4 linked regions of the Drosophila melanogaster genome follow. The gene in region 1 interacts genetically with each later gene. Each region holds a gene or a part of one and is shown in the gene's direction. Other genes may lie near its edges. The genes, in order: Med, anchor, gbb and Smurf.

The links.
Region 2: of Med (region 1) and anchor, changing one suppresses a phenotype caused by changing the other (phenotypic suppression), as found in Drosophila melanogaster (one study listed by BioGRID).
Region 3: of Med (region 1) and gbb, changing one suppresses a phenotype caused by changing the other (phenotypic suppression), as found in Drosophila melanogaster (one study listed by BioGRID).
Region 4: of Med (region 1) and Smurf, changing one suppresses a phenotype caused by changing the other (phenotypic suppression), as found in Drosophila melanogaster (one study listed by BioGRID).

What each region holds. Positions count from the first base shown.
Region 1 is NT_033777.3:31,608,506-31,618,024, forward strand, and holds Med (medea), read left to right. Parts: upstream 1-2,540; 5' UTR 2,541-3,175; coding exon 3,176-3,239; intron 3,240-3,473; coding exon 3,474-3,742; intron 3,743-3,805; exon of another isoform or gene 3,806-3,828; coding exon 3,829-4,183; intron 4,184-4,381; coding exon 4,382-4,603; intron 4,604-4,754; coding exon 4,755-5,369; intron 5,370-5,429; coding exon 5,430-5,712; intron 5,713-5,773; coding exon 5,774-5,942; intron 5,943-5,998; coding exon 5,999-6,125; intron 6,126-6,184; coding exon 6,185-6,396; 3' UTR 6,397-6,870; downstream 6,871-9,519. Other genes in the region: Mnat9 (microtubule-associated Nat9), read right to left, coding at 6,896-7,498; CG1792 (uncharacterized protein), read left to right, coding at 7,897-8,016, 8,070-8,767, 8,844-8,954, 9,017-9,206.
Region 2 is NT_037436.4:17,618,525-17,626,536, forward strand, and holds the start of anchor (anchor), read left to right. Parts: upstream 1-3,299; 5' UTR 3,300-3,778; coding exon 3,779-3,969; intron 3,970-7,583; coding exon 7,584-7,873; intron 7,874-7,968; coding exon 7,969-8,012. Other genes in the region: Vps60 (vacuolar protein sorting 60), read right to left, coding at 1,771-1,833, 1,895-2,125, 2,205-2,370, 2,577-2,728, 2,786-2,854.
Region 3 is NT_033778.4:23,848,519-23,855,765, forward strand, and holds gbb (glass bottom boat), read left to right. Parts: upstream 1-3,043; 5' UTR 3,044-3,236; coding exon 3,237-4,604; 3' UTR 4,605-4,729; downstream 4,730-7,247. Other genes in the region: ytr (yantar), read right to left, coding at 1-281, 2,053-2,294; eIF6 (eukaryotic translation initiation factor 6), read right to left, coding at 817-1,554; bgcn (benign gonial cell neoplasm), read right to left, coding at 5,041-5,176, 5,232-5,913, 5,975-6,940, 7,000-7,247. UniProt on the Drosophila melanogaster protein: Required for the growth of imaginal tissues and for patterning of the adult wing.
Region 4 is NT_033778.4:17,589,795-17,597,621, forward strand, and holds the start of Smurf (SMAD specific E3 ubiquitin protein ligase), read left to right. Parts: upstream 1-2,996; 5' UTR 2,997-3,518; intron 3,519-3,673; 5' UTR 3,674-4,055; coding exon 4,056-4,110; intron 4,111-4,171; coding exon 4,172-4,210; intron 4,211-5,472; exon of another isoform or gene 5,473-5,489; coding exon of another isoform or gene 5,490-7,598; exon of another isoform or gene 7,599-7,615; intron 7,616-7,827. Other genes in the region: RhoGAP54D (Rho GTPase activating protein at 54D), read right to left, coding at 1-60, 114-346, 412-560; icln, read left to right, coding at 1,239-1,357, 1,444-1,972; CG30105 (uncharacterized protein), read right to left, coding at 2,092-2,169, 2,234-2,623; ND-51L1 (NADH dehydrogenase (ubiquinone) 51 kDa subunit-like 1), read left to right, coding at 5,490-7,598. UniProt on the Drosophila melanogaster protein: E3 ubiquitin-protein ligase which accepts ubiquitin from an E2 ubiquitin-conjugating enzyme in the form of a thioester and then directly transfers the ubiquitin to targeted substrates.

The sequences.
Region 1 (9,519 bases):
ATGTAATAGCAGTTGTTACTTGTGTTTTCCAGAAACAAGTTGCTTCCTAAAATGAGCAAAAGTGTTTTTGAAACGAAAACAAGTAGTTTTATCCGTCGCACATATTTTATTTTTGGCTGACGCAATTCCAAGCCAGAGCACGCACACTCCCAAACCAATCAAGTTGCTGTGCTGGTGTGAGTGTGTGTATGAGGTAAAAATCCGAATGGGAACAACATACACACATACAAAGTCTTTGTTTGCAGCTCGCGTGTGTGTACGATGGCAAGGGAACTTTGGAAGCGGAACACACAAATTGTGGGGAGAACAACAAAGGAAAAGGGGAATATGAAGTAAAACAATTGACGCAAATTGGAAATAAAACAGATATGCAAATGGGGGAAGGCAATAGGAATGGGTTTTCTAGGCGAATAAGGCGGTGCCAAGGAAACAAAGGCGTACATTAGTCTCATTACATATGTATGTTGTACAGCTTGCATAAAAAGCACAGCCCCTCAAACACACATACCACTGCAAGCAGCATAGTTCCTCGCCCACCCCTCGTTCGACCCTCTCGCTCACTCTGTAAGCAACGACCTACGAATAGCGGACCCCAAATCCACTCTCTCGCTTACACACACAAACACCAGACAAACAGCTGTGAAACAAATGGAAGCGAAACAAACACGTAAATGAACGAATTTTGTATGTATGCCTAATATAATTTCTTTTTTCCTACAAACAAAATCATCTGATAGATGAAGAAAAAAACCTTGATTCTCTTTTTGCATTTTATCGACTTTTCCACTCTTAAATAAATTTAGCATTTTCTTACGTTTTTACAGCCATTTTGTTGTTTTGTGTTGCGCAGGAATGTTGAGATGAACTTTGTTTAGTTGTGAATTTTTGCTTCTATTGCACTCGAAAATAAGTGAATAAATTGGCTGGCAGCTTTACGCTTATTCAATTGCGTCAGATAGTTAGCTATAAAACCTTGTCGTTGGCCATTTAAGCTAGTTGTTAACTAATTTGTACTGCGTTTGTATCACAATTGGAACTCTGTTTATTAGGCTGGCATTTTATCCTCAATTTTTCCCGTCTGCGGATCGATTTTTCCCACACACACTGGGCTGAAGGTGCTTGGGACTTTTCTCCATCAGCTGTGCATTTTCCTCCTGCTGATTTTTTTTAGTTCTGCTTTAGCAAAGCTTTGTACGTTTGCACTTGGTCCTTTTCAATTTCTATTTTCTATTCCTAAGCAAACAAACACATTCAAACACTCGCGCTCGCAAAAACGGTACTTCTCCGCTTTGTTGTTTTTTTACGAATGAAGAATATTGTGAGCGACCAGTGTTACCAGTAGGCCTACAAGTTCCACAGATTTGGTGCGAACTGAAATTTGTACTATAAAATACCCTAAGCCAGCGGAAGCGATAGTCCCTCACTATCGATGTGTATGTTATTCGATTCTCTCTGTTAACTAACATTTCGCTGTAATGTTATCGAACCCTAATAAGCCCGCAATAATTCTTTTTTGATGTCGAACAATTTTGAACACCGAACTCAAATAAGCCCGCAATAATTCTTTTTGGTGTCGAACAATTTTCAACACCGTAAGCCTGATAGGGATTAAATAATAACTTTATGCTTCTGAATGCGGGATGTAGACAATTTTATGACAAGTGATTTAATTAGTTAGGGAATTAAAAAATATGAGGGCAACAAATCCTCGAAGTTAAATTGAGTTCCCAAATTACTATTACAAATGGAAGCTTCTGTTTTGGCAGGGAATCGCAAACTTCCCACACATAATTTCACAATCAATGTCATTGCCAAAATATAAACATATTTACATATGTACGCCGCAAATCGAAATTCCGTTCAGATAAGCGTTGAAATTACGCATTTTGATAAGATATTTTGAAGATGGAAACTACGCAGCAAACTGTTTTACAAAAGCCGGAGAAATGCATTTCCGGCGAAAAGGAAATTCGTTACTGTTGCCAAGTGAACATTTTCAAGAGAAGAGGGGAAGGGGGTGGTCTATTTCAGGCCCCACTACACACACATGCATATTTCTAGAAACAACCTGTCACACAAACGACTCATCAACGGCAATTTTTTATGAATGAATTTTAGCAATTAAAGCAATGGAAAGAAACTTTTCAATGGGAATGCGAAAACATCAATTAACTTGTTGCACAAGATGTTCAGCCTTCGATTTTCCCCAATCTCAACGATAAGAAACTTTCCTCAATTTCGTCACACACACACACACATGCGAATGGGAAAAAACGCGTGGCGATTGATTTTCGGCCTTTCAAAAAGTTCGTTTTACGCACTGAACAGCCCGCGAAATGAGTGTAAGTCGGTGTAACAAATCTCATGGCACTTACCCGGATGCCTCTGCGTTTTGATCAGTATCTGCTTTTCTTGCTTCTTATTTCCAAAAAATATAAACTTATTCTCAAATCAAATCTTCGAGAACTGACCAAACTAGGTGTTTGTAAAAATCCAAGGTAGGTATTTCGCGCTTTGCCCATCTGGCAACGCCCGCCCATGTTGTATCGCGAAACGGTCACTCTGCACAGCCGCAACAAAATAAAAAAGGAAAAAAAGGCAAATTGGCTGGAAAACTGGATTTCGTCGGGCGGAAAATTGTACTTTCGAGTTTCCCAAGCAGCCAATTAAGTGCAAACTATGAAATTCCACGAAAAACAGTAAAAGCCAGTCTCTACCAAGGATTTGAGCAGGAAACTTCTCGCTGGGCGTGTGTGTGTGCAGTGCGTGTGCCAGTGTGCGTAAAGAAGGAGGTGGAGAAGACGAAGGAGAGGAGAGTTTTCGCAGGGAAATTACGCCAACTTTGTGGGAGTTCAAGTCGAGTTAGTTCAGCGCGCGCGTGTGTGTGTGTATGCGTGTGTGCAACACCCCCCAAGCCCACTCACACAAAGCCATCCAGCCGCCGTTTGTTTTGTGCTCACATTCGCGTGCCGCCTTTGTTTGGCTTTTCTTTGGCCAGTGATTCTACGCCTTGTTTTTGCCCGCCGCCGGCTTCGATTACGCCTGCTCCAGCCACCGTACGATCCCCACTCCGCTCTCCGCCGCTCACGATCCCCATTCCGGATCCGGATCCAGCAACAACGCCGCCGTGGATGCCCATGCTCGCACTCTGGGCTCGCTCGCCCAGGACTTTGGCATGGGCGGCGGCTCGGGGGCGTGTCCGCCCGCCCACATGTACGGCGCCGTAGCCCCGCAGGACAGTAAGTGAAGTTCTCTAGAGGAGCAGCAGTCATAGTGAACTCCTTTTCGAGTTGTTATTCTAAAATCGATTTGTGGCCAAGTATTGTGGACAATCCTAAATCTTACCGTAGCATTATTATTTACTGTTGATAAACTTGAAACTCTTTGAAATTTAAAATGAAATTGGATTGAGCTGTACAGTATCCGTTGATCTACTAAAAAAACTCAGAGCTAATTACCCCCACCATCTGCAGTAATTGTCCGGGACATGGTGCAAATGCCGCCGCCGCCCTCGAACGCCCCCACATCGGCGGACGCCTGTCTGAGCATCGTCCACTCGCTGATGTGCCATCGGCAGGGCGGCGAAAGCGAGGGATTTGCCAAGCGAGCCATCGAGTCGCTGGTCAAAAAGCTCAAGGAGAAGCGCGACGAACTGGACTCCTTGATCACGGCCATCACCACGAACGGAGCCCATCCCAGCAAGTGCGTGACCATACAGCGCACCCTCGATGGTCGCTTGCAGGTAGGTTGAGTCTCTCAGACTTTCTGCATCGAATTTGATAATGTGTATAAGCAATGAACTTACCACTTTACCATTCTCTATCGAAGGTTGCTGGACGCAAGGGTTTTCCGCACGTCATATACGCCCGGATTTGGCGCTGGCCTGACCTGCACAAGAACGAGCTGAAGCACGTCAAGTACTGCGCCTTCGCCTTCGATCTCAAGTGCGACTCGGTGTGCGTGAATCCCTACCACTACGAGCGCGTCGTCTCTCCGGGCATCGATCTGTCCGGCCTGAGTCTGCAGTCGGGCCCCAGTCGCCTGGTGAAGGACGAATACTCAGCGGGTCCGCTGGTGGGCAGCATGGACATCGATGGCAACGACATCGGCACCATACAGCACCATCCCACGCAAATGGTGGGGCCCGGCGGCTACGGATATCCACAGGGTCCCTCTGAATATGGTAAGACTACAGTATTGACATTAATTCGATATAGTTTGAGTTTTCGATACTGGATTTCTTGATAATTTTTCTATATTATTTATAATTTTAAACTGAATTGTTCATTTTACTTAATTGTTTACATTCGTTTATTTCTTTGGTTTTAATAATTTATTTATATTTGTTTCCTTTTGGCGATTTTATGTTGACTTTGCGTAGTTGGCGATGCCAATCCCATGAGTGCAATGTTTCCCACCGGGCGCACAATACCAAAAATCGAGCCCCAGGATGGAGTTGCTGGGTCGCGTGGCTCTTGGATGGTACCGCCTCCCCCCCGGCTGGGTCAGCCCCCGCAGCAACAACAGCAGCAGCCGCAGCAGCAAACCCCGCAACCTACACAGCAGCAGCAGGCACAATCGCAGGCAGCTGCTCACTCACTCCGTAAGGATATGGCCTTGATTATAGTTGAAGCTTCGAAAATCGAATTTTAATTACAATTTTTCTCATATGTTGGATTTTAAACTATTATAATATTTGTCTTATTAACAATTAGTTGAATACACATTAATCTTTTCCCAAAATCAACTTTCAGCTGTGCCTCACGGTATGCCGGGCATGCCTGGTCCAATGAATCCCGGTCCCGTGATGGCACCCCCACCCCCGCCGCAGCAGGCTCAGAATCCCCAGGGCAATGGGGTGCACCATACCCAGGCCAATTCGCCCACAGATCCCGCCTCCGCACTGGCCATGCAACAACAGCAGCAGCAGCAGCAGCAGCAACAACAACAGCAGCAGCAGCAACAGCAGCAATCAGGCGGTGTGCCCAATGGATCAGTTAATGCCGGCGGTGGAGCAGCAGCTGGAGGGCAGTACTATGGACAGCCACCTCCTGTTAGTCAGATGCAAGGTGCCGGTGGGGGTGGCACCTCGGTGGCCCCGTCCGTCCACGCCCAGCAAAACGGCTACGTGTCGCAGCCAGGATCCGCGGGCAGTGCTCCCGTTGGAGGTGGTGGCGTCTTTGGCACAGCCCAACCCACACCACAGCAGCCGCAGCAGCCACCGACCGGTGTGCAGGCCAATACTGGGTCTGCTGGGGCTCAGGCTGGCGCCGGAGGCGGTGCGGCTGGCACCTGGACAGGGCCCAACACCCTCACCTACACGCAGTCTATGCAACCACCAGATCCGCGCTCTCTACCCGGGGGCTTCTGTAAGTCTAGGCTATGTAGCCCACTGTGCGACTTTGTAATCCCTGTCCTTCATTTTCCAGGGAATTCGTCGCTTTCGGGTGACCTCGGCTCCCCGCAACAGACGCCTCCGCAGCAGCAACAACAACAGCAGCAACCACGCCTCCTGTCTCGCCAACCGCCGCCGGAATACTGGTGCTCCATCGCATACTTCGAGTTGGACACGCAAGTGGGCGAGACCTTCAAGGTGCCGTCAGCGAAACCGAACGTAATCATCGACGGCTATGTGGATCCCTCTGGAGGCAATCGATTCTGTCTGGGCGCCTTGAGCAATGTTCATCGCACTGAACAATCGGAACGGGCCAGGTGAGTACATCCCCCTGGGAGTAACTTGCAGAGCAGGGATTAATTACCAAGTTCCATGCAGGCTCCACATCGGCAAGGGCGTGCAATTGGATCTGCGTGGGGAGGGCGACGTCTGGCTGCGCTGTCTTAGTGACAATTCAGTTTTCGTACAAAGCTATTATCTGGATCGCGAGGCAGGACGCACACCTGGCGATGCTGTGCACAAGATTTATCCGGCCGCGTGCATAAAGGTTGGTGCAATCAAGAGAGTTTAATGTGATAGCTTAACATACATTTTCTCATGCAGGTGTTTGACCTGCGCCAGTGCCACCAGCAGATGCACTCGCTGGCGACCAATGCGCAGGCAGCGGCCGCTGCTCAGGCGGCAGCCGTGGCCGGAGTGGCCAATCAGCAAATGGGCGGCGGCGGAAGGAGTAAGTAGATGGAATCAGTTTGATTTAGGGAAAACTAATGTGTTGATGCGGTATTCCAGGCATGACAGCAGCGGCTGGAATTGGCGTGGACGATCTGCGCCGGTTATGCATCCTGCGCCTGAGCTTCGTCAAGGGCTGGGGACCTGACTACCCACGCCAGTCCATCAAAGAAACGCCCTGCTGGATCGAGGTGCACCTGCATCGCGCCCTGCAGCTGCTGGACGAAGTGCTGCACGCCATGCCGATCGATGGCCCGCGTGCCGCCGCCTAATCCGTATTTATTATTGGCCCACATCTATGCTAAGGACTCAGTTTTAGCGGCAGCTATCCGTCAGCTATTTGCGGATTTTGTGTTTTTCATTTGCAATTCTGATTACGATTATGTTTGCCTTTGATTATTTGATAATAATTTTTATAAAAAATTGAAACAACTTAGAAGTCTTAAGTATGCAGCTGTAAAGCACTAAGCATCTAGTTTTATGTACTATACTTAAATATACGCCCACACAACACCGGAGATACTGAACAAGCGGCCAATGTTTGTTGTCCATTTCCTGCCACGAAAATTACAAATTAAAAAAAAAAAAAACGAGAAGCATACACAGCATTACAATCATCCAAGCCACAGGGCGAAACAAAAAGAGACATCGATGCACCCATAAATACATTCATTTGATGTAAAATGCAGCATAAATAAGGCAAGCGAAACAAGTAGATGTAACATAAGTGTAATAAACAGACCGTGAAATTACGATTCTAAAGGCTTCTTTTCACTGATAGCACTGCATACGCAGATCCACCTGCTGGTCCAGCCAGTTGATCCAATCTGGAGTGATAGGTCGCTCCAGGGTGACCTCGTGGAAGATCTCCACTCGACGCGTCTCCACGAACATAAAACTCTTAAACAAATGCAGCGATGCAGCGTTGTCCATGTCGATCTTGACCTCGAATTTATCCAATTTAAGCTGGGGCTGCGATTGGGCGTACTTGAGCATGAGGAGCATGGCTTCCCTGCCGAATCCCTTGCCCCGTGCATAAGGTTCGGCAATCATGATTTCCGCCTCCGCCGTTGGTATCTGGCTATCGGGATCTTGGTGCAGGAAGAGATTGGTGTCGCCCACCATGGCGGCAATCTCATCCTGATCACGCGAATAAGTCTCTGCATCCAGGACAATGAAGGTCAGCTTGTCGCTGTCCTCCCTCCAACTCCTTTGCATCTCGTGCTCCTCTTCTAAGGTCAGTTCCTCGGATGCGGTCAACTCCCTCAGGGTCTCGTTGCTCATCCACTCGTGGTACTTGGGCACGTGGCGCGCTTCGTAGGGCACAAGGATGACCCTGTGACCCAGTATTTTGGTGTTCTCGTTTAGATGCATCCTTAAATTTGGAAAAACTTAGGAATATTCTACAATCTGGAAATATTTGTTATTGTAAGCTTGTTTACATCAATCAGCTGCTCAAGCTATATAGTGGCCACCTGAATCTACACTGTAAGGAATTCTCTTTGCGTAAGCACTGCAAATAAGGTAATATTTTTGAAATGAACTCTTAAATCGAATGGAGAAAAGCGAGTAATCAAATAAAGTAATATCAAATAATCAATCGAATTAAAAATTAAGATCTGTTCAGGAATCCCCCTTACGATGTTGTGGCAGCGGTGCCACATCTTCTTAGCTATAACAGTCTGGCATTGCCAAAGGAGCAACAATATGAAAAGCAGAGCAATTTTCTGATTAATTTTTTCTTAAGTGTTACTAAATAAATAAGTTTAAAAATGCCGAATCGTAATTGCCGGACTTGCGGCCTGTTCATTTTCTGTTCGACGCCCAGTAACCTCTTCGAGGAGCCCAATTCCGTAATGCTGCACCAGATCGAGGTTCTTACTGGTTTGTTTGTGAGTACCTTTCTATTTTTGTGTTTTCAAACTTAAGTCTGGATTATCCGTAGTTGCTCGGCGGACCCGGGAACGAGCTGCCCCCCTTTATTTGCTCACCCTGCGAATTGGACCTGCAGACGGCGATTGCTTTCCGGGAACGTGTGATTCGAACCCAAAAAACGCTGCAGGAAAGTCCCAACCTGGGGAACGCGGAATTGATCGAATCCTTCGCAGTTGGTGTGGAGAAGGAGATTCAGTACGCTGAAGAGGTCACCGAGATCGAGGTTATAGACCTTCTACCCGAGGAACACCTGCTGGAAGAGACGGAAGAGCCGTACGAAATATGTGAGCAGAACGAGCAGCCCCAAGTGAAGGTTCCTGCGCAGGAGAAGAAGCTCCGCAGAAGTACAAAGACCACGCCCACAGTCTTTACCTCCGTTAAGTTTGCGGACAATAGCCAGGCCACGCGCACCCAGTGGAGCAGACTCACCGAGGACGAAGTGGTGGCCCTAAAGCGGGAGCGACGCAAGCGGGATTGCATATGCGAGCAGTGTGGCCGGCACTTCACCTGCCCCAGCAACTTCAAGTTGCACCTCCTCCGACACACCGGCGTAAAGAGCTTTGCCTGTGACCAGTGCTCCCAGCAGTTCTACACTGCTACGCTTCTGCGGCGCCACCAAGAACTGCATGCGGGGAATGCTTTGTTTCAGTGTCGCTACTGCGAGGCAACCTACAGCAACGCCAGCGGACGCATCCAGCACGAACGCATGTACGACAGAACTCGTTCCCATTCATGAAACGTCTAATGCTTTTCACATATTTCTGACCACTTTCCATTTCATCAGGCGCCACACGAATGTCAAGCCCTTCACGTGCAAGGAATGCAATAAAAGCTTTGCCATGAGCGGAAAACTCCGCACGCACATGCTGAGTCACACCGGAGTGCGAGCGTTCCAGTAAGATCTTAGTTACCTGAAGTTTTATTGAGGATCCTTGACTCTGTTTATCTGTTTTTCAGCTGCGACTCCTGCCAAGTCTCCTTCGTTCGCCGCTCCCACCTGACCTCCCACTATCGCTCAAAAGGTCACGCCCACACTTCAAGCGCCCAGGCGGCACTGGACAATCCTGTGGAACTGGACGTGAAGGCCAGTAACGGCATGCAGACAGGGGCTAAGGATGAGGCTTTACTAGGAAAAAGTGGATCTTAGGATAAACTGTACTAAAAATCAATGGATCCCCGATCTGATATTCGGATTAATACTCAATGCACTTAATATTAATCGAAAATGGAATATGTTCAAATATGGCTGTGTTGAATAAAAACTGATTTTTTCAAAATGGCCAATAGAGATTACCTTACTTAGGCTGCGCACTAATTTTTAGTTACATTATTTTTATGTTTTAAAATATAATAAAATCTAAATTCGAACATTGTTTACCGGCTTGGGGAGTAGCCAGCATTTTAAAATGTCATGAGCCTGGTCACACTGTCTTGCACTAAATAAATTAGGGGGCGTCTTT
Region 2 (8,012 bases), on another chromosome or scaffold:
AGAGCTTTTTTTTGCGCCATTCGCTTCCTGCATTCGAGGCAACTCCGCTGCCGCGGCGAATGCAACGCTGCGTATGAGCGATCTGCTGGTCGAAAGGAAAACAAGGTTCTGGAATTAGTCACTTACCATCTCAAGCAAAAGTAATCCAATTGGCGATATATCCATAATGTTCCGGCAACGGCAGAAAAAAATCATATACCCTATTGCCTCGAAGTTTCTATCAGTTACTTTGCGATTTATCACTTAATTTCTAAAATTCTTGTGTAAATATGTATAAACTTTCAGGCACTTTTCTTTATGGGGGCGGGGGCGTGGTCAGGGGAGGGCGGGAAAAGCCGACCAAAGGCTGTCAGATGCCACCAGATATTTGGATTAATTAATTGACATTTTAATCATCACGCTAAGGCCACTTGAACAGCGAGATTTCTTCGCGCGATTTTTGCTGCTTCAGAACTCTTTGTAACGCATTTTATTTGTTTGATATTTTGGGATTGCACTTTTGATCGGTAGCAAAGCGTTTAATTAGCGACGCGACGGCGGCGACGACGACGGTGGGCGGGAAAAGTGGGCGGGCGGGCGAGCGGGCGTTCTGTCGGTTGGCGCGAACGCTGCAGTTACAGTTACGTTTGAACAATTGATTTTTGTTGCTGCTAATTTGTTTTGTTGTTTGGTTTTTGTTATGCGTGTTTGAAAAGCGAAGGTTTTCCTCTTCGCATTCGAATCGCTCGAATCAGAGTTGGGGCAAAATTTGCGACTGTCCGTTACAGCAGTCAAAAGACAACTAAACGGCGAACAAGCGTATTTTTGCACACAGGCACTGCGCTGCACTGAGACCCGCTCACGCACACCAGCGCACCTCCACCTCGCGACGACAACGGCAGAGAAACGCTCAAGTTCACGCTCTGAACTTCAAAGCTCGTTAGCGTAGAGAGCGCAAGCGAGGCTAAGAGAGCGGAATGCAATTGCAATTGCAGGGAGAGCCAAAGAGAGTAGGGAGCTACAGTGCATCCTCTGTACGTCGAAATTGTGGGAAATAGTTTTTGTTTTTGCGTACTTTATTTCCAACAACACCTTATTTAATTTCAAGGCCAAAAAATATATTAACATTGCTTTGCGTTCGATTAACGCTAAATCCATTTCAATTACAATGCGGCGGAAACTCATTCAGCAAGTATTCTGCTTTCTCAAAAAAGTAAGCAGTACATTATACTCACTTTTATACTCAAAAACTTACTTAAATTGAAAATATCGTAATTCAATGGCAAGCTTCTTCTTACCTGTTCTGCAAGCTCACCAAATTTTGTTTGAAATGAGTTTTTGACTTAAGTGTTTATCACGTATACGTACAGCTGTACATCCGATCAAAAAAGGGTCAAACTATTTAATTTACAATTTAAACTATATTAATTGATTTAACCGCTGGATAAAAACTAAAGAACGAATGTTTCATTGTTAAAATTTTTAAGCACAAACCTAATAAATAATAAATAATAATAATTTCTTTCCCTGAATTAAGTGAAAGTTTGAAGTTGAAATATATTAATGTTTTTTCACTATATATATTAACTTTCATAAATTAACCAATATAATGCGTCATTAGTGTGGCGTGATAACTAAACGGCTATTTATTGAAAAAACAAATGGTTACAAAAGTGAGACTTGAGAGGGAATCTTTGATGGCTCCATTACACATAAAATATACAAAGCGTGCCCAAGGTTCAACAAAGGATAAAGAATGGAAACATGAGAGCTGGCAGCTTGGCAGCTTGCCTATGTGGTCTTCAGCGATGTCGGAATCTTGGGCAAGCCGAACTCATCCGTTTCAATGGTGCTCTGTAAGAAATTAGCTCGTTAGTAAGCAATCAAGCTGCTATCCATATAAGCAGCATTATACCTTTCCAGGGACGATGCTGTCAGCTCCCGGCTCTCGACTCGGCGCCTCCGGAGCCTTGACCACGTCATCCAAATAGCTGGTGTCATCGTCCAAGGCAATCTCATCGCCCAGAGCATCCAACTCGGCCTGCAGGTCGTCGTCATCCACCTCAGGCATGCCGTACGTGCGGCCCAGTGCCTCCTGCACCTCGTCCGCCTGCTCAAACATATCAGCCATGTCGTCTTGGATGTCCTTTAGGCAAAAGGATAAAAATTAATTTATGTTCATATTTCTGGGACATTTCCATCTCTTTCCAGCTAACTATGCTTACCTCGATCTGGTCGATGTTGATCTTCTTGTACTCGGTCTTCATCTGCTTGACTCCATCCTTCATGGCCGCCACGGTGGCCTGAGTATCCTTCAAGGATTGCGCCGCATAGTTGGCCTGTTCCATGTTGAACGACTGGTTGCGCAGAGATTCTGCCTGCTGTTCGTAGCTGTGTAGGAAACAAATAAAGTTCAAAATGGTTTAAAATACTCATTTAGAACAGGACACAATAAAAAAATTGATTGTGGATGTAAATTTCATAAGGTAATGGAACTTATAGATTAGGAAATGATAATTTCAAATGTCTGGAGAAGAGTAACACTGGAGGTTTGGAATATAATCGATACTAGGCAGTGGGTGGGGCATTGAACGTACGCCTTCTTTTGTTTGAGAACCCGGAGGGCCTTCTGTTTCACGGAGTTCTTGGCAGGACCTTCTCGCATCTTGGACATTTGTTCGCGGTATTTGCGCAGCTCTGCCTCCAGATTACTGATCTTCTCTTCGATGTTTGTTGCTCGGGCATCGACCTGTTGAGTGTAATAAATTGTTATTTGCTTTGTTTTCTCCATGATTTCGACACTTACCCCGGCGATGCAATCGTTTAGACTTGGACCCGGCTCCTTGGGCTTACCACGACCAAAAAGGCGATTCATATTGACTGCTTTATTATTTTAACTACAACACGCAAAATTTATGGGAAATTTGTGGGTTTTCCACTTTAATTCGTTCTACAAATTTTGTTTGATGACTAATTGTCTTCTTCTTTTTCCTATACCAATCAGCTGTTTGGACCGTACAGTGTTGGTGGGCAGCACTGTTTGGCAGGTCTGTCAACCAACGACTTATTGTTCTTAAATGAAACTGTTTTTATTGTAATTTGGAAAGATAACTCATTCGAACTGGTTTGTTTAACTGGTTCGATATTTAGCTTATATGTCGTTCAATTTTAGGAAAAACTGTGTAAATAACAGATATTTTAACGGTCTCTTTGTAGCACTGCCTTAGTATTTTTGTTTGGTATTTTCATAACATATAAATGGTGTATTTTAGTACATTTTGGTTGCCCCGCTGGTATTACTTAACGACCGCGCTGCGGTCCCACCATTCGCATTGCAAATTAAAAACAAAACGCATCGGCGGGCGCTTTTGAGCTCTTAACTACGTTAATTTGCGCAAATTAATAAATTCGTTTAATTGCCAAAAGCAAGTGCTGCGGACTCAAAAATCAGCAATGCGTCGTTCGAACAGATGAAAGTGAAATCAGCCTGCCGGGCATTGCGATTTTCGACCATTTTCGACTATTGAAGGAAAATAGAGTGCTAATAATACACAACAACAACCATCAAATTGGCAAACAAAACTGCGTAGATAAGCGATTAAATAATAGAGCAACATATTTGCCAGCAACATAAAGTAAAGGTCGGCGAAAATCCAATAAATCCGCAGCTGGCCCTTTGACGTCACGGCCCATCAGCTGCTTGGCCCACCGGAGCACCCCACTTTTTCCGCTATGACGCGCAGAGTCGCCCACTAACAGTGAACTCCCACGCTTAGCAGCCACTCCACAGTAGTCCCCAATGGACAGCTCCATGTACTACGCCAGCCAGCGGATTGCTGCCAGCACAGAGGCTAATGTCAGAGTCATCACCTCGACCATGGCCTCATCTTTGGCCAATGGAACGGCGACGCCACGCGCCGACGACGGGGGCGTATCCATGAACAACTTTTACCCGGCGTTGGTTCAGTGTTTCGGCATCATCATTTGCGGGTTAGTAGATATATTGGGGAACTTCGCACCTAGATAGTGGTCCCACGCATCCTTCCCGATAAGATTACCCGTATATTCCACCCCAAACACAAAAACACCAGGTTGCTCGCACCCCTAAAGCTCATTTGCAAGCCTTTGTTTGATTTAGGTACAGCTAAACAGCCCTAATTCGGTTTTATTTACTTTATTGGGCAGAACATTGTGTACACTTTTTATTAGCAAGCTCACTAGGGGACAGCACAGTAGTCATAAACCAATAATAAACCAATTTAAATTATTCTCAAAGGGAAATTATAGCTACCACTGAAGCAAAGTAATCATTCTTTGCTAAAATATCAAAAATAGATAGTTTTAAGGAAAGAAACAAACATTCTTAGGAATCTTAAATAATCTTGAAATACCACTCTTTAAATGTAAAAAACTACCAATAAAACGTTTCAGTTTGCTTAGATATTCTTAAAAGATAGATAGTTTGAGTAATTGAAGTTACAATATAGCTTGCCACATCCCACGTAGGATCCTAACTCGAACGTATGTATTTCACCCCTTATCGCAACGATTATGGGGAACGTGCGGTCACTTGTACAGTGACCAGCACTTATGACGGACACCGTCTCGATTCAGTTTCAATTTCTCTGATTTGTTTTCACCCACTTATCAATTGACACTCGAATTTTATTATCTGTGGCAAACTGCTGTCTCACTGTCTGTGCGTACTCCGATTCAATCGTTTGTTTCTTCAAACAAACTCAGCAATTATCCGAAATCAGCTAAATTAACTTTTGTTATTTTTAGAAACGGAATTACCCAAAAGAGATTTATTCGGGTTTAATTAGGCTTTTCCGCAGCAGCAACTAGCCTAATATTCCCCATAAAATTAATTTCGATCTATTATAAAAAGAGTTGCCTAATGGCCAATGCCTATTTGTTGATTAGATTTTGTCTCTATTTCTTTAATTTATGCTGCAGTTCTTTTAATTGCTGATGCATTGCGAAAGAATGTTATGCTAAATTTGTTGGCGTTTGCAAAGGTTATTTGAATTACAAAATTTCCGATTAGTCATTGCAAGTCGGTCGTTAACTGATATTGTTTGATCATTCACGTGAAAATCCAAACCTTTGAAACATTATGTTCCGGCTATTTAATAGGGAATATCTCTGCTGGCGTATGCTGGAATTTTTCCCAATGTTTAACCACCGATTTAGCAGTTATAATTAGAGGCGGTTTCATAAATCTGAACTAATTCCCGCCGGTCGTGGCACTTTTCCTGGGAAATTGCCGTGAAGCACCTATTAACTTTGACATACAAAAAATTGCTCAATAACAATGGGGAGCGGCATATGTAAATTGTAAATTTGCGCTGCTAGCTCCCATATCAATCATTATACATGCATCTAAGCCGAAACTTAATTGCCAGTGGGCAATAATCGAAAGTAAAACGTTTAGAGAGTGCGAGAAAAAACGTACAAAATCGGTATAAACAATTACAGCAATGACCTTGCAATACAGCGTAAACAGTATCGAGCCACTCCACCTGAGGCAATATTTGCACCTTTTTTGTACGGATTATGCAACCGCAATTACCGATTTGTCTACCGACCACTGCCAATTACTGGCGATATGCATGCCCACCCAAAGATCCACCGCCAGGCAGATGCACCTCATCCAACTGTTCAAGCAAACAGCTACTGATATCGCCTATACAAACTCGACTACAAAGTCGGATGCGATTATATGTTATTTAACTGCTCTCCCTTCGCGTTCGTTGGCATCTGACTTTAGAATTTCGTTCTGCACTTGCAAAGCCAACTGAGGTAATACCCTGCCTTTAGTCCTTATCATTATTCGGCCTTTAAAATGTAAATGTAATTGAGAAAAATAGATTGCTTTAGCTCTTAGACTTATCTATAACTGATTTGATTTTTGATTTTTGTAATAACTCAATTTCGTATGGTAAATATTTCTCTTCAACTTATTAGCTTTTAATACCTCACTATTTTCTTTGAAGTACAAATTCCAAGTATTAGCAAACGTAAATCATATCCCTATGTCAATCAAATGTCTCCCCAAATGCAAATATTTATCACCCTTTTGACACGCTGTTATGAAAGGGTAGCGAAGAGATGCACATCGCTTCCAGTTTTAAGTGCTGCTCGTAATGCAATTAAAGTTTGTTTACGATTGTTATCGCATTGAAATTATATTTAATCATTTATTTGATGAATCTTTGTTGTGTGTGTTTTCGCTGTGAGAATTTGATTGACTCGCTGTGATCATTTTTCTTTATGATTTAGGCTGGAAATAACCTGATAAGCGCTACCAATAATACAGGGGCTATAAACACCTCGACTCGTTATGGTTTTAACTGTAGCAATAGTTTGATAATAGCATAGACATTCGCAGGTGTTTCTTCATCGGATTCTGGGCGAGAGTTGCCCAACAGGTCGGTTCGCAGTATTAATAATATAATGAACTTGCACTTTGTTTGGGCACGTAAGATGAATATTTGCGTGCCGATCCTCACAGTTTGCCAATTAAGCTTTACTTCTTTTTTAGAGGTATATATGTATGTACATTAATGAGTTTTACCCGGTTGACTAATTTGGATTTCGTTTCTCTCGACTGAGTTTCTAGAACACTTGTTTTGCTCAACAGATAAATGAGCGAGATAAATAAGGAAAAAGTTTTTGACGTTTTCTGTTTAGTCTAGCTTTTTGTTTATGTACAAATTCTGTGGACAGACCTTACTCACAGACAACAATTGTTAAAACTTGTATTTCAGACCCAAGGGAATGTTAAAGTGGAGACCCATATATAAGGCTTTCATTCATTACTATTTTTATCAAGTATTTTCCTGATTTCCATCTTATAAATATAAAAGGAATTTCTTAAGAAAAGGGCATGAAGAATTTCTCTATATTTGCTTAATAAAGAGACTGTAATTTCATCTTCCGCCCTTGTGGCTCTCGCATAGGCACACTTCTTTATCAGTCATGTCTTGTAACCTCTTCCACGCTAAATAAAACATAGATAATGTCTACAAGGGTTTCGCATTCCTAGGAAAAAGCATTCTCACAGAAACCTATGACACATGGCGCTTCGCAAACGCAGAAGCTGAGTTCTGCCAATATTAACAATAGCAGTCTCGCAAATCTTAAGGAGATAAGAGCTTCCCCAGGTTATTCCCACAACATGCAGTGAATGCAATAAATCGCGTTGAGTCATAAGAAAAGGTCGCTAAACTAGTTCGTTTAAGGCAGGGGGAAGTACTCCCTACTCCAGATTAACAGACAAATTAATTTGTCTCGTCGAATGTGACAGAAATACAGATTTTCGCTCGAAAATAAAAAACGTTTACAAATCTTTGTTAGCCAAGAGACAGTCCGAAATAAAACTGGTTTACGAGTGGATCACGTGTGGGGCTGCGGTGAATGTATTTTATATGCATGTAGAGTACACTGTACATATTGATTAAGAGTTTCCGCCTTTCCGGCTGGCTGGGTTATTAGCATTAAAAATATACGCCTTTTGGTGAGGGGGGCGTGGCCCGACACGCCTTTACAACATGATTAGTGGTGTAATGTGTTCCCCTTTTACTCGCTCCTTGTTGCAGTTACATTGCCGGACGCTTCAAGATCATCAGCAATGCGGAAACCAAGGGTCTGGGCACGTTTGTGGGCACCTTCGCCCTGCCCTCGCTGATCTTCCTGTCCCTGGTCGAGCTCAACTGGAGCGCTGTCAACTGGAGCTTCCTTCTGGCCATGCTCGTCTCCAAGGCGGTGGTCTTCTTCGCCGTGCTGATCATCTCGCTGCTGGTCGCCAGGCCCCTGAACTACGCTCGCGGCGGCCTGATGGCAATATTCTGCACCCAGAGCAATGACTTCGCTATCGGCTATCCCATAGGTGAGTTCATGTTACAAGAACCTGGATATTGCATCTAGAAATATATGCAACTTTATATAAATTCAATTTCACCTAACATTCTATTTTTCCTTCAGTTATGGCTCTTTATAAGGATGTCCATCCGGAATATGCCTCGTAT
Region 3 (7,247 bases), on another chromosome or scaffold:
TTCGCTTGAGGATTACATGCACTTCTCCGACATCGTTGCCCTCGACCTTCCTGTTCTTGGTGGTGTCGAACGTGCAGAATCCCATTGTCTTCAGCATCTCGACCTCTTCCGGCGATTTACCCTCCAGGTCCGCCTCGTTGATCTTGGGCCGGTCGGCAGCTGTGGCCGCCGCATTGTTCCTCGTCGTCCTTCGCGACGTCGATGGTCCGGAGCTGCTGTTGCCGCCGCTGCTTCCGCCGCCGCCTCCTCCTCCTCCTCCTCCGGCGACCCTCGACCGCGATCTGCAAATTATGAATGTGTGTGCATAGTGAGTGGTGAGTGTTCTATAGATTTCGTTTGAGTGACAGGACCGACCAGTTGATTGCATTCGAATTGCAACGAGCCTGGGAAATAACTGGGGCGACCTTGGGCGTTGTGCACCCGATTGTGCAATATGAAGTTTTAATTACGCGAAATGCGACACTTCTCAACCGGTCGGTTGGCTTCATTAAAGACCATATTTACGTCTCGATTTTGGCAATCATCTGAAGACCCAAAATAACCGGCTTGTATATGCATATGCTAGAGAATTTCATTCTAAGATTTAAAATCAAGCTCAAGATCCCTCTAAAATCCATTCTGAATCCATTTATATACCTAACAGACAATATTCCTCTATTCCTCTAGCTTATATCTCAAAAACTTCCATTGGAAAATAGCTAATTGATGCTTGCAGCTCCCAGACTTTGTTTTAGTTTCGTGTTTTGTATTTCTTAAATGAAATGTAGAAGATAACAGATAATCCTTATATCAAGTAGAAAGTGGGGAAAGTTTCGCTTAGGACATGTCCTCGATGAGGGCCGCACGCAGCTTGGTCGTCACTGTGGCGGGCTGTGCCTGGTTAAGCTTGAAGACGCTCTCGATCACGGAGATCTCTGTGGCCGTGGTGTTCATGCCCACGAAGGAGAGCCAGTCGTTGACGACCATGCCGGCGGCGAGTACTTCGCTGCCCCGGTTCACTGTTCCGGCCACGAGGGGAACCTGCAGCAGGGACGACAGTTCGTCCTGGTCCTGAATGCTCGTCTTGGGATGCACCATGCCGCCCTGGTTGCTCAGCACGGCGTAAGAGCCCACCAGTGAGTTGTCGGCAATGGTCTGGCGGAAGACCTCTACTTTGAGCACGTCCGCGATGATCTCCTCGGTCTCCTTGTCCAGATCCGGGTGCACCAGGGCCACATAATCATTGCAGGCGATAACGTTGCCCAGCGCGGACAGGCGCTCCTCCACACGATAAATCTTCACGGCGTCTGGCAGGCTGTTACGCAGGTGTTGCAGCTCCTCGTCGGTGGTGGAGTTGGGCACCAGCAGGCCGTTGCGGTTGCCCACGGTGAGGCGGCCGATGATCCGGCAGCCGCCCACATTCGCATGCACCACCGGGATGGTGTCGCCCAGCTCCGCCTCGAAGGCGCTGTAGAAGGTCTCGGATCCACCGATGGCCACCAGGCAGTATGTGTTGGTTAGTTTAGTGAAGACGCCGATGTCGTCGTTGTTCTCGAATTGGACGCGTAGAGCCATTTTCTCTGTATTTACGTGGATCCTCTTTTCCTGCTGGTTACTCTCTTTTCGGATTTACTGGCCTGACTGAGCCTGCTGCCGGATGAGTTCTGGATTCTGTTTATATGTCCGGAAATCAATTTAAATGTCGTGATGAAATTCGCACAATTTCGCTTCACGTGGTAATTTTTTTTTGATGTTGGGACGCCAGAGCTGCATAGCCATCGATTGGCTGCCTATCGAAGTGTGGGTCTATCGATACTCGTGGGTAAATAAACAAGTTCTGAACGGCGATTTCGGGGGTTTGAGGGGTCAATTGTCCCCTGTGTTGGAATGTGTTCCTAAATCTACACAAACACTCCCTAAGCTTATCCTAAACTTATAAATATTGGTTGCTATTTAAACCCCATTTCACGGTTATCCAGCACGCCCCTGAACTGTGACCCACATCCCCGATTTTAGTGACTAGTTTTATACTTATCGTGGTTGGCATTTGGTACACTACACTTTCTTATTCACCTAGATCGCCGACTCCGCGCACGGTCGCGCTCCCGTTCCCGCTCCCGATCTCGGCTGCGACTGCGGTCGCGATCCCGTTCCCGGTCGCGGCGACCGGCGCCTCCAGATCCGGATCCTCCGGCTGGCGCTACTCCGATGGCCTCCCGCTCCCGGGAACGGCGCTCCCTGCGCTTCTTCCGCTCGGATCGCTCCTTCTCGCGTCTCCTGTGCGCCGGCGAGGCGGGACTTCGGCTGCGGCCCATGGCTCCGTTTCGGTCTCTGCTTGTGTGGCGGTTTGAGTGATTGATGATGGTTTGCCTGCAGTGGATTTGAGCGGATGTTAGACTCCATGTACTCCAATTGCACCGCACGCATCCCGCTTACCGTTGCACTAGGCTGTGTCTAGCATTATTTGGGCGACACCGGCGGTGGGTAAAAACGCGCTAACTTAAAACTAAAACCAAATAAACAACGCGCGTTATCTCGCCGCGACGCCGAAACGGAATGAGGAATGCAGAATGCGGATGATGATGCGAGGGATGCGATGCAAGGGCAAAACATGGCCACCTATCGGATATCGATTGATGGTCGATTTTATCTTCGATAAAAATGTATCCTATGTATATCGCATACCGAATGTTTAAATCGATCTGTTTCCTTTTGAATATGAACTATGTATATATATTAATTAATATTTTTTAATAGCATTACCTATATTATATTTCAAATTATGCCCGGACTATGATAAATTTAACAAATTCATAATTACAAATCTTTCGTCAATACCACTTCCATAAATAGTTTAAAATATCAAAATATTACGAACTTTGCCAATATAAACGTTATATTTTCTACATTTACACAGTTTCTTCTTTTTTTTTTTGAAGCTATTAAACCACATATTTGCTCACGATCGCAGCTGAAATGAACTACTATGTTGGATCTTCTAGTTCGATCTTCAAGACCGATTCATTTTCCAAGTCGCGGGACTGCCAACTCCCGCGAAATAGAAAGAAAATGCATCTTGAAGATTAAGATACACACAACAATCCGTAAGTGCGTCAGAATTTTCAGAACCCGCGGTTCGCTGGAACTCTCGAAATAAACAACTAAATGCCACTGTACATCTGAAGCTATCGCAAGTGGATAGCGCCGTAGATATAGAAAAACAGCGATCGCAACCGATCCGTCCAAAACACGAAATAATGTCGGGACTGCGAAACACCTCGGAGGCCGTTGCAGTGCTCGCCTCCCTGGGACTCGGAATGGTTCTGCTCATGTTCGTGGCGACCACGCCGCCGGCCGTTGAGGCCACCCAGTCGGGGATTTACATAGACAACGGCAAGGACCAGACGATCATGCACAGAGTGCTGAGCGAGGACGACAAGCTGGACGTCTCGTACGAGATCCTCGAGTTCCTGGGCATCGCCGAACGGCCGACGCACCTGAGCAGCCACCAGTTGTCGCTGAGGAAGTCGGCTCCCAAGTTCCTGCTGGACGTCTACCACCGCATCACGGCGGAGGAGGGTCTCAGCGATCAGGATGAGGACGACGACTACGAACGCGGCCATCGGTCCAGGAGGAGCGCCGACCTCGAGGAGGATGAGGGCGAGCAGCAGAAGAACTTCATCACCGACCTGGACAAGCGGGCCATCGACGAGAGCGACATCATCATGACCTTCCTGAACAAGCGCCACCACAATGTGGACGAACTGCGTCACGAGCACGGCCGTCGCCTGTGGTTCGACGTCTCCAACGTGCCCAACGACAACTACCTGGTGATGGCCGAGCTGCGCATCTATCAGAACGCCAACGAGGGCAAGTGGCTGACCGCCAACAGGGAGTTCACCATCACGGTATACGCCATTGGCACCGGCACGCTGGGCCAGCACACCATGGAGCCGCTGTCCTCGGTGAACACCACCGGGGACTACGTGGGCTGGTTGGAGCTCAACGTGACCGAGGGCCTGCACGAGTGGCTGGTCAAGTCGAAGGACAATCATGGCATCTACATTGGAGCACACGCTGTCAACCGACCCGACCGCGAGGTGAAGCTGGACGACATTGGACTGATCCACCGCAAGGTGGACGACGAGTTCCAGCCCTTCATGATCGGCTTCTTCCGCGGACCGGAGCTGATCAAGGCGACGGCCCACAGCAGCCACCACAGGAGCAAGCGAAGCGCCAGCCATCCACGCAAGCGCAAGAAGTCGGTGTCGCCCAACAACGTGCCGCTGCTGGAACCGATGGAGAGCACGCGCAGCTGCCAGATGCAGACCCTGTACATAGACTTCAAGGATCTGGGCTGGCATGACTGGATCATCGCACCAGAGGGCTATGGCGCCTTCTACTGCAGCGGCGAGTGCAATTTCCCGCTCAATGCGCACATGAACGCCACGAACCATGCGATCGTCCAGACCCTGGTCCACCTGCTGGAGCCGAAGAAGGTGCCCAAGCCCTGCTGCGCTCCGACCAGGCTGGGAGCACTACCCGTTCTGTACCACCTGAACGACGAGAATGTGAACCTGAAAAAGTATAGAAACATGATTGTGAAATCCTGCGGGTGCCATTGAATTCAATTTACCACTTAGGCTAAGCACTATAGCACTATATATATAAAGCATTTCTGTGTAGATGTCCATCTCTGTACTAATCTCGAATATTTTTATACAAAAATATACAGCGCTGTACCTAACTGAAGTTCGTCTCTTGAGGAGTTTCATTTGTGGCTAGTATTAAAAGATACTTCTTCTTTATTGTCTCACATCTACTCATGATTGGGATGCACAAATTTCAAATATTTCAAAACAACGATGATAGACGCAATGTGGTACTAAAAGTACGTATTTTGATTCTGGTTAGCTCTCATTTAAAATTAACAGTCATTTCACAGCAATAAAAGGCACAATCAAGTCCTATTTGGACTTCGGCACGCTTCTTTGGATCATTCTTAATTATTTTAGGACTCAATTAGTAGGGAAGCAGGCAATATGCGCGAGGAAGCGGGCTTTATCGCTTGTGAATCCAGTGGTGGCGGAAGGCAAACAATTCCATAATCAAGTTGCCGACACGCTTGTCAATTAGCGCCGACATCAGGCGGCCATCAAACACCGGTGTCTGCACATTCAACGACACACACGCATCTCTGAAAGGAGAGCACATTAGACTGGAGTATTCTCCGCAACTTGGATTGCACTTACAAGATTTCAAACACCGGAATGTTGTTTCGGAAGTATTCCTGCAACATAAATACACCATTGACGAATTTGGCTCGACTAATGCTGAGCATCATATCGGGATCCTTTCTATACAGGATCACAAAGATGTGCCGGTTGGGCGTGTCGATGGGTCTGACAAACTTGCCGAGGACACTTTCAATAAAGGCTGGCGTGTTCCTGCTGTGGAACTCCTCGCAGTCGCCGCCTGCGTAGAGCACGAAGAACTGCCTCTCGATGAAGTGCGAATTGAAATGGTGTGGTTTCGACAGCATGTTCTCCTCCACTTCCCGGGCCCAACTGAAGTGGGCGTTAACGGACAGGAGGTACAAGGATGGCAGCTGGGGCGTCGGTAGAAAGGTTATGGGCGGAGGCTTGAAGAAGCCCACGAATCCATCCTCACTCTCGAAGATCTTCGATAGCGTATCAGTCAGCACGGTGTATTGGGAAACTGGCTCGCAGTCTCGGCGCCACATGTCCAGCTCGCTGCAGTGCTTCAGCAAGTCGTGGTACATTTTAAAGAAGTAATACCGCGTGCGCATCACCATCTCCGCCGTAGCCTTGGACATAACCATCCAGATCCATTCGTCTATAAAGACGTTCACGTTGCGATCGGTCAAACTCATTTCACTGTCGCAGATCGGGGAGAGGCGAATCCGTGGATGTCCTAATTAATACAAAATGAATGATAACCAGAATGATATAACATGAAATTCATTCGAGCTTACCCGAGAACATGGCAACAGCCAGAGGAACGACCAGGGTGGCGTAAACAATGTGGCTCTTCTGCCTGTTGCACACAATCCACGGTGTGCGGAAGCTCTGTGCCGAAATATTCAGTGGCTCCAAGAAATCGCGGAGCACGGTGTTCGGATGCATGGAAACGTTCCCGGAGAAGGCCGACTTTAGCGAACTCTTTCTAGTGTCCACGGCATAGATGTTGGGATACATTCCGCCCGTGAGGGCCGCCTTAACCATGTGCCAATTGCAGGACATCTGGTTGAGATTGTTCATCGACAGCTTACCTCGGCTGTGAATCAAATTGGCTGCCCGCAAGGAGCTCACGATCTCGGAACGAATGGAGGTGAGTTGCTCCATCAGGCCATTCAGCATGAATTCATACTCATCCTTAAGGTATAGCGGCGGCGTCCTGTTGTGCATTCGGTTTTGCCACTCCTTGTACAAGCGCACGAAGATGAAGTGATCGGAAAACTGATTGTCGGACAGGTAGGTCCGCTCTTTCTTGATGCTGTTCTGGATGTAGATGGTGAACCTGTCCCACAAGTTGTCGATGTCCTCGGTAAACGGAATGCCCAACGGGTCCGCCGTCGACAGAGAGCTGACAATCGTGAGTATTGGATCCAGGCAGCGCAGCAGGATGCCGAAGATCAGCATGCGGCCGAGTTGACAGGAGACCGGGATGTCCATCAGGCGGCAGCCCAGCCAGGTCACATCCTCGGCGTCATCGAGCACATCTATTTTCTTGAGGAACTGCACGGCATGGTGCACGTTGATCAGCGGTGGCGGTGAGATGGTAATACCCAGATATTCGCTTATAATCGTATTGGGTGAGAGTAGTTTCACCGCCAGGCAGATCTTGTCCAGTTGCATAGTCTGCAGGCTTGGCTGACTGGTCTCGCTTAGCTCCTCGTAGGCCTCCTTGCTTATCAGACGGAAGCATTGTACATCCCCTTCTACGGAAAACGCAGTGCATCAGTTAGTGTTAACAATGTATGACGAGCTATGTACTTACTATTGGGCTGAAGGATTAGCTCCCTTCGCAGAAGAGCGTCCTTGGCCACCCATTCGAAGCGATCATCGCCGCTGCAGCTCGTGGTATCGTAAACATTGTTCAGCCGGCAGGCGGTGTCTATTTGGTACTTGAACGGCACCTTCAGGCAGAGCGATTCGATAATATCCGTGGCCAGAACCACCTTCACCGTCTCATCGCTGGCATTGACCAACGCCTGGAGGTAGTCATTCCTCATGTTATCGTACAGC
Region 4 (7,827 bases), on another chromosome or scaffold:
GAAGTTCGTTTTGTCGGGACACCGCACCAGCCTTGCGGAATAGGCCTTCCTGGGTGAGATCTGAAACAGTGGATCAGTTAATGAACGTAATTTGAGATCTTCAGCGAACTTACTCTTCTCCAGCATTAGGAACTCCTTGAGCTCTTGCAGATGCATTAAGAATCCCGGATCAATCTGCTGTTGCAGTGTCTCTGTGGGACTATTACCCACGGATTTACTGGCGGAGCCGGCGGCACAGGATGTGGCAGCTGCTCCATGTCCCAAACGATGTTTTTTAGACAGGCGGTTCCACTTCTTCAGCTTGCCCTTGTCCTCGTAGACAATCTCGTGACAGGGGAGATCGAATCTACATATATAAGGGAATCGTTAGTAATGTGGTGAGCAGCCATATACCAAGGTGATCCATCTTACTCATCCGTATTGAGCTCCAATTCAAACGATAGGTGCATGCGCACCAAGGATTTGTATTTTTCGTAATTGCAGCGGCGCATGCGCGTGGCCAGATCGCGATCCCTGAAGTCATTTAGGTTCGCATGGTCCGTATCCATCGTTGCTTCCATGCAATCTGTGTGGTTTATCCGTCGGGACTATCGAGTAAACACTGTATATATCCACGAACAACGACAACAACAACAATAATAACGACTGCCAACGGATAAGGAAAATAACAACAACTTGGAAGGACAATGACAAGTTCGTTTCGTTAACCCGAAGGCTACTTCTTTCACTTCTGTCCGTAATGGGTTCGTTTTGAGGAGTGTATTATTGTCGAAGGTTTGATGCGCGAGCATATAACTTCGCATTTATCACATTTATCGCAAATTTTAACAGCTAAAATTGAAAATTGAACGAGACGCTACCTAACCAGTGTGACCGCGGCTAGAGCGCCAAATTAAGACCTCTTTGGGAGAAAATCGTACGCGCTGATCTGGTAGCACAATTACGTACTACGTTTTTATCTTTTTTTGACAAAATTGTTCCATTCTTTATATATCTATTTCTAAATTCAACAGTGGTAAGAAAGAAGTTGTCCTCCGAGAACACCTGTTCTGATGATTCTACATTCAAAGAAGGAAAATACATCAGAGCGTTGCCAGAGTCCAGCTGTCTCTCCTAGTTATTGCCACCCTTGCCAGACTTTCAAAAGGGGGACGAAAAAATGGTACTCAACACTGCATTTTTGCAAGTTTTGTTGTTTGATCGCGCTTTTTACAATTAATTTAACAAGCTGTATTAAAATGGTTCTTATTATGCGTGTTTCCCCGCCGGAACATGGTCTGTTGTATACGGCAAACAATATCAAGCTGAAACTAGGCGACAAAGTGGTGGGCGAAGGCACAGTTTACATTGCCCAAAAGTGAGCGCTTTAGAGCTTTGCCGGTGTCTGGTATTGCTCTCTATTTATTAAAATCTTTTAAAGTAACTGTTATTTCTTGTTCCTAGCACGCTATCCTGGCAGCCAACTGAATTGGCGGAGGGTATATCCATTGAGTGGAAGCAGGTTAGCCTGCACGGTATCTCTTCGAATCCGAGAAAGTGCATCTACTTCATGCTGGACCACAAAGTCGAGTGGAACGGCGTCTACGGAGATCCTCCCCAGCAGGCAGTCAATGGTCGGAATGGCGGTGGTTCGGAAGCGGAAGTGGACGAGGGAAATGGCAGCGATGAGCACGATGAGGACGACAATTTCGAGGATGCCGTAGACGAGCAATTTGGAGAGGTCACAGAGTGCTGGCTTATGCCGGAGGACATTCACACCGTAGACACTATGTACAGTGCCATGACGACTTGCCAGGCCCTACATCCTGATTCGGCAAACAGTGATTCGGAAGACAGCGATCCTATGCAGGATGCCGGTGGCTTAGAGGATGAGGCTATGGAGGAGGATGATGCATTGACGCTTGGGCGCAACGGCGTGCAGAATCTCAGTTTGGACGACGACGAAGAGCGATTCGAGGACGCTGATGAGTGAAGCATAACCTATTTAAACATCAATACCACGTTTTATACCAGATAAAATGTACGATATATATGTATTGGATTAGATTTTGGAGTAATAAATAGAACGCGGTAAGCGCGATTAAAACAAAACTACGTGCTTTCCTTGACGTTTTCCTTATTACGAGCGATTTCTTTCTCTAAATCCTCTTCGCTAATGGGCTGCGAGAGCTAAATAAATAAAATGTGGTATTTATTAGGTGTACTTCGAGAATATATAGTGGTATATACATACAGCTTGAGCAACATCCGGCAGAGGAAGGGCCTGTCGGTAGGGATCGCCATTGGACGGCACTTTGTCGTAGTTCCAGTAAGTAAAATCTTGAAATACTCCAGTTAGCCGCAACTTTCGGTCGGAGGTATCGCTGATGGGCTTCTCTGTTTCTTGCAGAACTAATCCGCAGTATCCTTCGGGCACTTTCAACTTCTCTCCCATTAAAGGAAATCCGCGCAAGGCGTTCGTCAGGATTCCTGTGCCGAATTCGGTTGCTTCACGTGTGTAGTTGTTGAAGTAATTTTTTACATTCGCTTCCCCATCGCCGTCTATTTTGGCCGGCAAGTAGTGCACGTCTAAATTCTTACCCTTGGCAAAGTTCTTACCATTAAAATCTAGAGTAATTGACATTGTTACTTTTTGCGCAAAATAAAAGGTAAACAAAAACTCCGCCAAAATGTGTTTGTTTGTTTGCGCTTAAGAAGGATGGTTTGAGTAGCAGCTAAACTCATCGATTTACAACCGATAGCCAATAGTAGTTTAATTCGATAGTAACAATATAACAAAAACATACAATTATATTGTAAATCAAAGCTTGTAGATGGTAACGAGATCACTGTTTACCATCACTGAACAAGTTTTCATGCTGTTTTAAATTTAGTATCTGACTACATACGTATTATATATATATATTTGACAATATGCGATGTTTTCCAAGAATATTAGCACTAAAAAATCGATAGTATAAGAGAGTAATCGATTTTTCACTCAGCACTAGACTTTGTGCCACCACTAATAAAAATGGCGTTCGAAGTTGTAGTTAAATTTTTATGGGAATCCGTAAAACAATAGCGCGTGAGGCCGCGGCAGCATAATTCGCGCACTATCAAGCGTTCCGTGGACGAGCAACTGTGTGGGCGTGCGTTGTTCGCAGAGTTTTCGTCCGATTTTTAGTGAACTAGAACAATACAAGTGTGCCTCCTTTGATTATTATTGCAAATTTTAGTACCACACACACTCGCGCACACATCGATAGCGAAGGAAATACTAGTGCGAGTAAATAGTGTGGCACCCATACTGGAGCAGCGACTAAATTAAAGTTAATTAAACACACAGTGGTATTTCATTTAATGCAATTTGTGAAATAATAGAGTGGCAGAGGGAGAGAGACAGATCGAACCCCGCTCCCGCTCTCCCCTGCAGCATGCGTGAACTGCGTCCGTGTGTGTGTGCGTGAGAGAGTGAGCGAGACATGTGCGTGTGAGGTGCAGCAGCAACAACAACAACACCAGCAAAACAATTTCGGGTGAGTTTTTCGTGAATATTTTGCCTACCTGAACGATTTCCTACCTACGCCCTCGCTTTTGGGTTGGGTTTTTGCACTTGGGGGGAAAATACACACATTATCTCTAACGAACTTACTAATAATACCCATTTCCATTTGTTATCTTTGGATTGCAGCCTATAAAAAAAGCAAATCGGTGTTATTATTTATATACAAATATATCTATGTGCGTGTGCCATGACACACAGCAACAAACGCAAAAACTACAACAATTGCAACCGTCAAGGCTACCGCCACAGCAGCAGCAGCAACAATAACAACTGCAGTTACCTTCGGCAATGAAATTACCTCTCACCGCCCTCACCTGCTCCTCCTACACCTCCTTTGCTTCCTCTCCTCCACCTTCTACTTGCACTTCTTCTTCTTCGCTCTCCGTTCGGCGCTTTAACGACAACAACAACTACAACAACATGCCCGCGACATATAAATAATCAATACACAAAGTAAATCCATTTATTTTTATACAAATCAAACAATATCAATTAAAAGTCGAAAATTATGAATAAATTGGATTACCCACGTCGCAATGGTACACACAAAGTTCGAATAACGAGTAAGTCTGCTGATAAAAACAATTGTTAATAAAACCCACTAATATATCGCTTTACTTGCAGTATTGTGTGCTAGAAACTTGGCCCGCAAGGATTTATTTCGTAAGTATTTTAATATTAATTGGATATATCTTAGCATCTAATTTCCTTAGTGCCTATCACCTATCCGTCAAATAGGACGGTCTAAATTAGTTCCTAAAGCAGAACTTCCGGTCATCAAAAGCATAAAAGTTTTACCCTGTACTTCTTAATCGTTAGTGTTATAAAATATTAAATGTAACAGCAAAAAATTCCTTAAAACTATTTACCCAGCATGCCTTTGGCGTAATCACTTATTTTCGTAATTTGCTCACATGTTTGGGCTAATTTCTTGACTCACTTTTGGTTAGTTACGGGAAATTTGGAGCAGTTGGCATTCGCCAGACCCAGCAAGCTTTGTTTTCACGTTTGGTTTTCTTTTCGAAAACCATCAATTACGCACCTGTTTAGCCGTCCAATCGAAACACACATTGTGGTAAATTAAAGTTTTGTTTTATTTGCGGCGCTTGTGGTGCTGCTGTTTCCTCTTCTTCACATTCATCTATGCATATAAGGTATCGCTAAATTTAGCACTTCCTTTCTTGTCTACTTTCATTTTTATACAAATTGCGGAAAAGCCCCCTCCCCCCATCGCGCCCATCAAGTCGAGTGGGTGAGTGCGAGTGGTGCGCCATATCTGAGCTCTTTTCCCATATTTTGTTAGATATAACAAAAGTGATTATTACTAATTTGCTTTCATTGCGGCTCACTCACTCGCTCGTCCACAAATACAATCGCAATATTTTTTCTTTCTGTGTATTTGTGATTTACTATTCGCTTTTTCCACTTCTTGTCCATTTTTGTACACTTGGTTGCACTTAAATCACGCGCCACGCATTGTTCAATGTGCTACTAAAAAAAAAAAAAAAACATTCGATGTTCCTTATCCGTGAGATTCCAATAGGGGGATATTTGGGTTTCCGAAAATGGGTCTGTGGCCGCTGGTGTCACTTCAAATGAATTGTTTATTAATGCTAATGCTTGAATTCCGTGGTTGACTACAGAATATGGCGCATTCATTTGCTATTTTCCCTCTACTACCATATACATTGTACACTAGTAGTTGGTTCTTCATATTTTATCGATTCTTTGTGATAAGATTTTAGTTGAACCCAGCGGGGCTTACGGTCATTATAGGGAAAATCCATAATGGGACTTTCCGATATTCGTTATTGTGAGTAATGTAAACTTTTTTAACATATCAAGTTCGAAAAATGTGGAAGTAGTATGCTTTGAATTTTCCTTTGATTCAACACACTTGCCAAAGAGTTCAGTTAATCAGATAAAGAATATAGACGAAAGCATGATATCGTTTCTGTTAAAACGCCGAGCTTGTGATGCTTACAAGATTTCATTAGGACTAACTCGTGCATATAGAGCCTTAACAGAAGTAAAAAGCCTTCAAAATGCCTTACGACCTGGTAATAAAACTGGAAATATCAAGCTGGTAAACATATACCGAACTTCTAGCATACAAAATGTGAAGAAGAACCAACTAAGTGACGCTGAAAGCGTTATTCCACTCTTATTGCGGCCAGCCAAACCTGTGCTGATTATGAGAGAAGGATCTCAAACCGATTGTAACGACGATTTGCTGTCCTCTGAGCAAAGAGCCAAAAAAAGGGAAAGCATAAAAAAATCCGAAGTAGATTGCCCAAAATTTCCAGCTGAGAAACTTCCGCCCACAACGAAATTTCCTATTAATGAAAATGCCAAGAAGGTTTTAGATCCAGCCGACCAAAGAGAACTCGAGGCCAATTTGTTAAAAAGGCTTAAAGATATGGCTAAAAGAAAGAAATCTCGACTAGATGAGAAAGTTGACGAGCTGAGGGATAATTTTATAGGCTGGAATTATGCTGCTCTACAAGGAAGAACTATTGTGACTGTGGATGCCAAGGAATCAACTCCACCGAAAGGATCTGGGCCGGCCACCCCGGCAGGCTCTCCTCCACCTAAAAATGTTTCTGCACCGCCGACGGGCGGTTCTCCGCCTGCCAAAAGCGGCGCTCCACCACCCCCAAAGGGGCCACCGCCCGGAACTCCACCACCGCAGACGAAAACTACTTTTGGACCACTTGCTGATGCTGATCGAATCTTTACCAATTTATACGGACGGCACGATTGGCGATTGAAGGCAGCAATGAAGCGCGGTGACTGGTACAAGACGAAGGAGATCATAGCCAAGGGTGACAAGTGGATAGTCAACGAGATTAAGACATCTGGACTGCGAGGACGCGGTGGCGCCGGATTTCCCAGTGGACTTAAGTGGTCATTTATGCATAAACCGCCTGATGGAAGACCCAAGTTTCTGGTGGTCAATGCGGATGAAGGAGAGCCCGGTACTTGCAAGGATCGTGAGATAATGCGCCATGATCCACACAAACTGGTAGAGGGATGTCTCATTGCTGGACGGGCTATGGGTGCCAACACTGGTTTTATTTACATTCGCGGAGAGTTTTACAACGAAGCTTGCAATCTTCAGTATGCCATTATTGAGGCCTATAAGGCTGGCTACCTGGGAAAGAATGCCTGCGGTTCTGGGTTCGATTTCGATCTTTATGTGCAACGTGGAGCAGGAGCCTATATTTGCGGTGAGGAAACCTCTCTGATTGAATCCCTGGAGGGCAAGGCGGGTAAGCCAAGGAACAAGCCTCCCTTTCCGGCTGATATCGGCGTCTTTGGCTGTCCGTCTACGGTGACCAATGTGGAAACGGTGGCCGTGTCTCCCACTATTTGCCGGCGTGGTGGCAATTGGTTTGCCAGCTTTGGACGTACCCGAAACTCTGGCACCAAGCTGTTTAATATCTCTGGTCATGTTTGCAACCCTTGTACCGTCGAGGAGGAGATGTCCATGCCAACCAGAGAGCTTATCGAACGCCATGCTGGCGGAGTGATCGGGGGCTGGGACAATCTACTGGCCATCATTCCGGGTGGCTCCTCCACTCCCTGCATTACCAAGGAGCACGCCTCGAGTGCGATTCACGACTACGATGGGCTGATGGCAGTGCGTTCGTCCATGGGAACGGGTGCCTTAATTGTTATGAATAAGGATACGGACATTATCAAGGCCATTGCCCGATTATCGGCTTTCTATAAGCACGAGAGCTGCGGCCAGTGCACTCCTTGCCGCGAGGGTCTCCACTGGGTGAACATGATCATGCATAGATTTGTGACAGGACAGGCGCAAATTGCAGAGATCGATATGCTGTTCGAACTGACGAAGCAGATCGAGGGACATACCATTTGTGCCCTGGCCGATGGTGCTGCTTGGCCGCCCCAAGGACTCATCCGGAACTTCCGACCGGTCATCGAGGAGAGGATCAAGAAGCGGGCGGCCGAGGACCAAGCTAAAGCTGAAGCACTCGAAGCCGAACGTTTCCCTTGTCAAACGGTGACTCCTTGTCCAGAATAAAGCGTGCCAGTTGCATCAAAACCGCCCGTTTTTTATGTGCATGTGTAGTTCGAACAGCAGCCGTGGCATGCGGCTGAATTCAAGCTCCGCTGACTCTGACTACCGGCTTCCGTCCGAGTGAAAGTGCAGCCAATCGTTAACTTCCTCGCCTTGTCGACTGGGCTACGAAATTGTGCCACGTAGCGTTAAACCAAAGGGGGTTGAACACATAGCCGTGTTGGCCCAAAAG